Oryctolagus cuniculus: one gene and its partner. The protein of the gene in region 1 purifies or fractionates together with the protein of each later gene. This does not show direct contact. Links are inferred from orthologs where the notes say so. Each region holds a gene or a part of one and is shown in the gene's direction. Other genes may lie near its edges.

Region 1 (3,748 bases):
GAAAAATACTAAATATATCTTCCAAAACCAAAAAATGTTAGCGAGAGGAGTTGTAAATCTTGTCAACATTTGGCTTACTAGAAAACAGTCGGTTTCTCCCATCCACTTCTACGTTCAATTCGCTGCAATATTTATCACGTAGCCTCTGGAAAACTCCACTGCTACACTGGGGAAAGAAAGTGAAAATCATTTTTTAAAATTAATTAATTAATTTATTTTATTTTATTTTTATTTTTTAATTTTTGACAGGCAGAGTGGACAGTGAGAGAGAGAGAGACAGAGAAAAAGGTCTTCCTTTTTGCCGTTGGTTCACCCTCCAATGGCCGCCGCGGCCACTGCACCGCTCTGATCCGAAGCCAGGAGCCAGGTGCTTTTCCTGGTCTCCCATGGGGTGCAGGGCCCAAGCACCTGGGCCATCCTCCACTGCACTCCCTGGCCACAGCAGAGAGCTGGCCTGGAAGAAGGGCAACCGGGACAGAATCCGGCGCCCGGACCGGGACTAGAACCCGGTGTTCTGGCGCTGCAAGGTGGAGGATTAGCCTATTGAGCCGCGGCGCCGGCCGAAAATCATTTTTTAAAAAGATTTATTTTATGTATTTGAAAGACAGAGTTAAAGAAAGAGAGAGAGAGAAATCTTCCATCTGCTGGTTCACTCCCCAAATGGCTGTAAGGGCCAGAGCTGAGCCAGGAGCCAGGGGCCAGGAGCTTCCGCCAGGTCTCCCACGCAGGTGCAGGGGCCCAAGCACTTGGGCCATCTGCTGCAGCTTTCCCAGGTCATAGCAGAGCATAGCAGAGGGGCAGCCGGGACTGGAACTGGCGCCCACATGGGATGCCGGCGCTGCAGGCTGGGGCTTTAACACGCTGCGCCACAGCCCCGGCCCCGAAAATGATTTTTTAATGTGATTATGAAAACTGCTTCGTCTTCAGAGACCCTCAAGGAATCCCCGGACATTTGGGAGGCGCTACTGTATTGTAAGAAACAGTAAGTCCAGCATTCAGACTAAAGGGGAAGAAGAGGTTCCTTCGATTCGCATGAATGTTGGGCTTTGCCTGGTAGGCTGGGTCTGGGCGAAATGCCGGGGACACCAACAAGTGCCTCAAGCAAACGCTAACCTGCGCGCTCTTCCGGAGTCACTGACGCGCGGCGCGGCTCCACCTCAAACTACAACTCCCCGCAGAGCTCGCGGCGGGGGGCGTGTCCGCACCCGCGGAGCGCGAGGGTGGCTCAAGCTGATGACGGAAGTGAGAGGAGGCGTGCCTGTTTTGGGTGGGTGCGGTGCGCCAATTGGAGGAGATGGAGAGATGGGGCGGGGCTGTCGCTTGGGTCAGCCAATAATTGGCGGTCAGGCGAAAATGGGAGGGGGACGGGGCGTGGCAGGGCTGACTCACAGGCTGCGTGGGGCTCACGGAGCCTGGGGACGCGAGTCTGAGGGGTGCGAGGGCCCTGTCCTGAGGTCGTGCGAGGGGGATGGCGGCACGATGGAGCAGCGAGAACGTCGTGGTGGAGTTCCGCGACTCCCAGGTGAGCTGGGGTCCGAACGGAGCAGTCTGGGCATGCGCCCTCAGTGGTTCCCCTCCCCCACGCGGCCTCTCTGGTCCTAGGGGTTGCCGGGAGACCCCCGGCTCTGGCTGAGGAGTTGGACTACCCGGTTACCTGGAGCTGTCAGGCTCGGGCGGGCGGGAGGCGCTTGATGACAGTTGGGGTGGGCATGGACGGGGTGTCGAGGTTCCTTGTAGGGGGTACAGGGAATAGGGTTCGCCTTGGGGGGCTGAGGGAGGTGCCTCATGCCCAAGGTGGTGAGCGAGGGGGCGTCGAGCAAGTCGTGGAACTTCTGCGTGGACCTGACCCTTGGTTTTGGGGGTGGGGTGAGGTGGATTCCATGAAATGCTGCTCGCAAAGCGGCTGCTTCGACGCCTAAGCGGTTAAGTGGTTGCTGATGCTGTGATAGTGGACCCTGTACGTATTGCCTGGGTTCGAATCCTGGCGCAGGTAATAGGCTGTCATCGCTCTCTGCGTGCCAGTTTCCTCACCAGTGGAAGGAGTAATCCTGTCTCACGGGATTGGCGTGAGGATTTGGGGCGGTCATCCGTGTGTGTGTGTGTCTGTCTGTCTGTCTCTCACACACACACAGTGGTGGGCACATGTTACGCTTCGAAAAACGTGAGCCCTCACTGAGGAATTTTACCACTTTTCTGTGTCGTGACTTCTGTATGTTGGGCCTTGTGCTGAGCTGCTTATGTGTGGTTTCTTTTTGTGGTTCCTGGAAGAACCATGCAAGGAAGGTAGGTGTAAAGGGGGAAGCTGATGCCCATTTCATCCCCAGTGACTTGGCCAAGGCCTCCCGCGATGGGGCCATTGGTGGAAGGCACTGCCCCCAGAGCGTGTGTCAGCTCAGAACAGTACTTTGCCTAGTAGTGGGTATCTGCGCGGGGTCGTGCAGTTGTTTGACAGTAGACAGCATGTTCCCCCTTCCCCACTCCTGTGCCAGTGTCTTGGAGAGCCTGTTTATTCAGCTGTCTCCGTGTGCCAGACTTCTACTCACTCATTTATTCAACAAGGAGTTACTGAGATACTAACATTGTGCCGGGCCTTGTGTCCATACTCCAGTGATTTTTCTGGAGGGAAATCTGGATTGCTTTGCCATAAAGATGAATGAGTGGAGGAGCCTCCCACTAGTTTGCTCTGTGTGCCCTTGGATAAGTAGCACCTATCGAGGCTTTGAGCAGCAGCGTTTGGATGCAGGGATCCTAAAGCCGCTGGCACTGTCAGCATGGTGTCTCAGAGGCCCAGTCACCCAGGGGAGGTGCTAGACTCCTAGGGAAAAACCGTATCCCTGTCACCTTTCTCATTAATTGCTTCCACTGGGAGCTAGGACAGAACAGGATTGTGTGTTTGTCTCTGAGCCTGCTAATTTGGAAGCTACTAAACTGCAAACCCTTTAATTCTCACAGAAACCCAGGTAGTCTCACTCCTTTTTTTTTTTTTTTTTTTTTTTTTTGAAATAGAAACGTAATTGAAGAGACCTGCAGAGCAAGTGCTGACACTTATATTAGGATGCTATGAAGTAGCAGCAAATAATTAAACCTGAACAGCAGTTGTCATAGTAGGAGAACAAAGTGAATTGGGTAATTGAGCTGCCTGTGGGAGTTTCTATTTTTCTTTCTGCTTTCCTGATTAGTGGAAGGATGTGTCTTGGTGTGAATTAGCATGGTTTTGTGGTTCACTCTAGTGATCAATGGGAGGGGCAGGAACCAGTCTATTAACTTTTTAAAATTAATGTGGAAAGAAAAAGTGAAACTTCTTCACAGTACCTGTCTGAAAAGGCCAAAACAATAAACTTTTCAAAGCATCCCACATCTTGTCAAAATGATTTTAAAAAATTAAAGCTTTTAGATTTTTCAGAGTAAACCTGCTGTCTGTAGGTGAAACTGTTTTGGTTTATACAAGTGTTATTTGCTTTATAAAACAATGCCATGTGGTATTACTGTCACCAGTTAGTGGTGAAGGACATGTGGTACTTGACAGCAACTCTGCAGTGCTCACTTGCACGTGTACCCTTGAGGATCAGTGAGATGGCAGCTTGTGCAGTTGTGAGTCTGACTCGGCAGCGTGTACAGAAGTGCTGCGGCCGGGACTGGTGGTGAAGATGGGAACTGCAGACTCCGAAGTTGCTTGCTTGCCTGCCTGCTTTGGAAGGCAGAATTAGAGAGAGAGAGAGAGAGGTCTTCCATCTGCTGTTTCACTCCG
Region 2 (3,748 bases), on another chromosome or scaffold:
TTGGGGTGGGGGAAGGGAGGGCAGGAAAGTGGGGCTCCGTGAGGCAGTCTTAAGGTGAAATCCAGTCGCCGATCTCAAGTTTCTAGCCTCCACTGTGTGGTCAGCTTTCTGGGCAAAATCTCTCCGGACCCGAGGCTCCCCGCTCCCAGGCTAAGAGCCGGAACAATGTCCGTTCAGGCCGCGAAGCCCTTTGAGAGACTGGCCCTTGCTGGCAGCAGGAAAGTCTTCAGCAACCACACGGTCCTGGCCTTTTCGCCAGACCTTTGGGCGATGTCACGGGACCCAAAGATCTATAAACGCGGAACGGTTTGGGGGGCGGTCTTGGGGCCACCCTTTTTCCCCAGCCAGTTCTGGCTGAGCCGTGGCAGGGCCCGACCTGCAGGGGGCGCTGAGGGCTCACGCAGCCGACGAAACTCAACGGGAACGCTAAGCAAATAGCCCCAAAGCACCCAGCGGGTTAGTTTTCCTATTTTAATAAGAGGAGCGAGCTTTTCCAAACCTGAGGGTTTCTGTCCTGGACGCAACCCAGCAAAGCGAAGCATATGCACCGCGCAGCACCAGTTCCCTCGACAGGGGCTCTGGAAGTTAGAGCAGCTCAGGTCAATTCTTTTGTTTTAGGGATGAGGAAACGGATTCTGAGAGCTGAGACAAAAATCAGCTGGGATCGCAGAGCTAAAAGCTAGCACCCCGGTTGCCTGACTCCTGGAATGTGGTCTTGGGAGATAGATAGCTGACTCCAAGAGTGTATGGCTGCCCCCAGTACACATCTCTGGGGGAACAATTTCAGTTCTGCTTGGGTAGCGGGACGGCTCAGAACAAGTCTGCTGGAGCAGGGAGGGCCTCCCCCAGCACCGAGCACCATGCGGGCTTCATGAGTAATGGAATGAATGTGTGAATAGGCCGGTGGAGAGTGGATCTGTTCTGACTTTATCAAGCCTGTGGGAGGGGGATTTCTTTCCTTGAAAACCTCCTGGGGCAGGGGTTGTGTTCTGAGATTCAGAGAGCTGAGGGAGGAAGACAATAAGAACTCAGAAAATGACATTTGGGCTGATAAATCATAGCTCTGGAATGGTGGCGATATAAGGTTATCATAGCAAGGGCACCCCGGAATTTGGGATTAGAAAATGAATTTAGGAAGAATAAACCCAGAACAGATGAGAATCCTGTGAGAGTCATAATCTGAAAGAGAAGCTGAAGCCGGAAGAAACCTGAAAAACATTTCAAATCCAATCTAGACTTATCTTCAGGACTGGAATGCAATTGAGGAATAAAAATAGCTTTGGCCAATCAGTGGCCTCAACATAGCTGATGCAAGAGTCGAGAGAGTATGGCAACAGGAGGAAGAGATCTTCACTGAACCAAAAATCACAAGGCAGGGGGGAGGGGAGGAATGTGCCCAGGCTGGGGCCACACCCCACCCTCTCGGCATCCCACTGGGCTGGCAGCTTCATGGCTGGATTCCCAGAGCCCAGCACAGTGTCTGGTACACACACCACGGTCAATAAATATTTACTGAATGAAAGGAAGGAAAGCAATGGAGCTCTGACCGGCAGATTTGCTCTGAGTCGAGTGAGTTCAGTGATTCATCTTGGTTCATGGTTCCTTTTGCCAGGACTCCAGCTGCTGTGGCCATTTCCAGGGGATAACTTGGCTTTTCACACATGCTCCCCTACAAGGAGGGATGTGCTGACCCATCTATTAGAGGCCACTTGACAGTTATGTTCCTCACTGCCAATTAATACACCTGCTCTAAGCACCAGTTCCTGTGCCTGCCTGCTCCTTGCAGATTCACGTCGTCCTCTCATTTGGGTGTGCTGGAGTTTCTACTTTGGATTCATAAATGCCTGGGTTTGAGTCCTGGCTCAGAATGCTAAGCCGTCTGGCCTTGGCCAACACACCTCCTAAGCCTGTTTTCTTGTCTGTTAAATGGTGCCCTAATACCTGCTTCACAGGGTTGTGTGAGAGCTACATGAGACAGCAGCTGCGCCACTCCTGCTGTAGCCCAGTTAATGGTAGTGACTGTGCCGCTTCCTGTCTTTCCTTCCTTGCAGATTCCATGACAAAAGACTGCCCAGTTTAGTATATCAGCCTCTTTGGCTTTTCCTTCTCACAAATCACTCACTTTGTAAATGAAGTGTTGGGAATGATCTAATCACGTCCTGGAATATTCTAAAAGGTTACTCTGCAGAGGAGAATAACATATTTATTCAAAAATATCAGGGCTGGCATTGTGGCACAGTGGGTTATGCTGCTTCTTGCAATGCCAGCATACCATATCGGAGAGCCAGTTAGAGTCCCAGCTGCCCCACTTTCAACCCATCCCGCTGCTTACATTCCTGGGAAAGTAGCAGAAGATGGCCCAAGTAGTGGGGCCCCTGTCACCCATGTGGGAGATGAGTAATGTGATCAGGAAAATTCTCTCTCTCTTTTTTCTCTCTCTCTGTGTCACTTTCCCTTTCAAATAATAAAAATCATTAAAAAAAAAACAGTGAAGGCATTGAATGCTGGATACAATTTCAGTGGTCAGGGATTTACAACAAGGAGTACTGAAAAAAAAGTTTCAAGGCCAAACAAGAAACATGGGTGTGGCACATGATGAAACTGACAAAATAAATTGAATCACATCTTGGCAGATTTTGAACATCGAACTTTGTAGTCTGGACATTGATATTATAGAGTAAACTTTTTAGAATGAATTTGACAGGGTAGCTAACAGGGGAATTTAATTGAAGATTCTAGGGCATATTATTAGCAGAACATTGTGATAGGTGACATAGGACAAGAGACAAAGGTGCCCTCAAGAAGCATATAACTGGGCCAGCATTGTAGTGCAGAGGGTTAAGCCATAGTCCCATATGGGCACCCAGCTGCTCCACTTCCAATTCAGCTCCCTGCTAATGTGCCTGGGAAAGGAGCAGAAGATGGCCTGAGTCTTGGGCCCCTGAATGCATGTGGGAGACCCAGAGGAAGCTCCTGGCTCCTGGTTTTGGTCTGGCTCAGTCCTGGCCTTTGCAGCCATTCAGGGAGTGAACCAGCGAATTGAAGATCTCTCGATCCCTCTCTCTCTCTCCTTCTCTCTCCCTCCCTCTCTCTCTAGCTCTGCCTTTCAAATAAATAAATAAATAAATACATCTTTTATAAAAGAAGCTTATAAGCAGATAAGACACTATAAACACAATTTGTAATACAAAGTACATGTGATAAGTGTTAAAACAGAGACCCCAGCCCACGTGCTTTGGGAGCTCAGCAGTAGGTTAGATTAGCTTCCTTGTCTGAGAAAGCTGGAGGCAGAACGAGACAGAGGCTCATCCTTGGAATCTAAACCCAGATTAGACAAGATCCCCTCCATCCTTGCCCCCTCCAGGATCCCATGCCCAGAATAAACAATGACATTCCAACTGAAACACAGGAGCCTGTGCTGTGGCGCAGCAGGTTAGGCCGCCAGCATCAAATATTGGAGTGCTAGTTCGAGTCCCAGCTACTCAGCTTCCAGTCCTGCTCCCTGCTAATGTGCCTGAGAAAGCAGCGGGGGATGACTCCAGTCCTTGGGCCCCTGCATCCACGTGGGAGACTCCTGGGCTCCTGGCTTCAGCCTGGTCCAGCACTGGCAACAGCAGATGGAAGACCCCTCCCCCACCCCCTTCTTCCTCTCTGTCACACTGCTTTTCAAATAAATATTTTTTTTTTAACTTGAAACCCAATGGGTCAAGAAAAAACATGGAGGAAGAGGCTCTGTGGGAAGTGAATG

Evidence for each region.
Region 2: the proteins of WDR59 (region 1) and SESN2 purify together in Homo sapiens (affinity purification with western blotting; 4 studies listed by BioGRID and IntAct, with this or other methods). This does not show direct contact. The link is inferred for Oryctolagus cuniculus from reciprocal best matches to the Homo sapiens genes WDR59 and SESN2.

The regions. Positions count from the first base shown.
Region 1 is NC_091449.1:57,464,167-57,467,914, reverse strand, and holds the start of WDR59 (GATOR2 complex protein WDR59), read left to right. Parts: upstream 1-1,359; 5' UTR 1,360-1,468; coding exon 1,469-1,522; intron 1,523-3,748. UniProt on the Homo sapiens protein: As a component of the GATOR2 complex, functions as an activator of the amino acid-sensing branch of the mTORC1 signaling pathway. The GATOR2 complex indirectly activates mTORC1 through the inhibition of the GATOR1 subcomplex.
Region 2 is NC_091438.1:143,427,201-143,430,948, reverse strand, and holds the start of SESN2 (sestrin-2), read left to right. Parts: upstream 1-1,176; 5' UTR 1,177-1,308; coding exon 1,309-1,569; intron 1,570-3,748. UniProt on the Homo sapiens protein: Functions as an intracellular leucine sensor that negatively regulates the mTORC1 signaling pathway through the GATOR complex. In absence of leucine, binds the GATOR subcomplex GATOR2 and prevents mTORC1 signaling.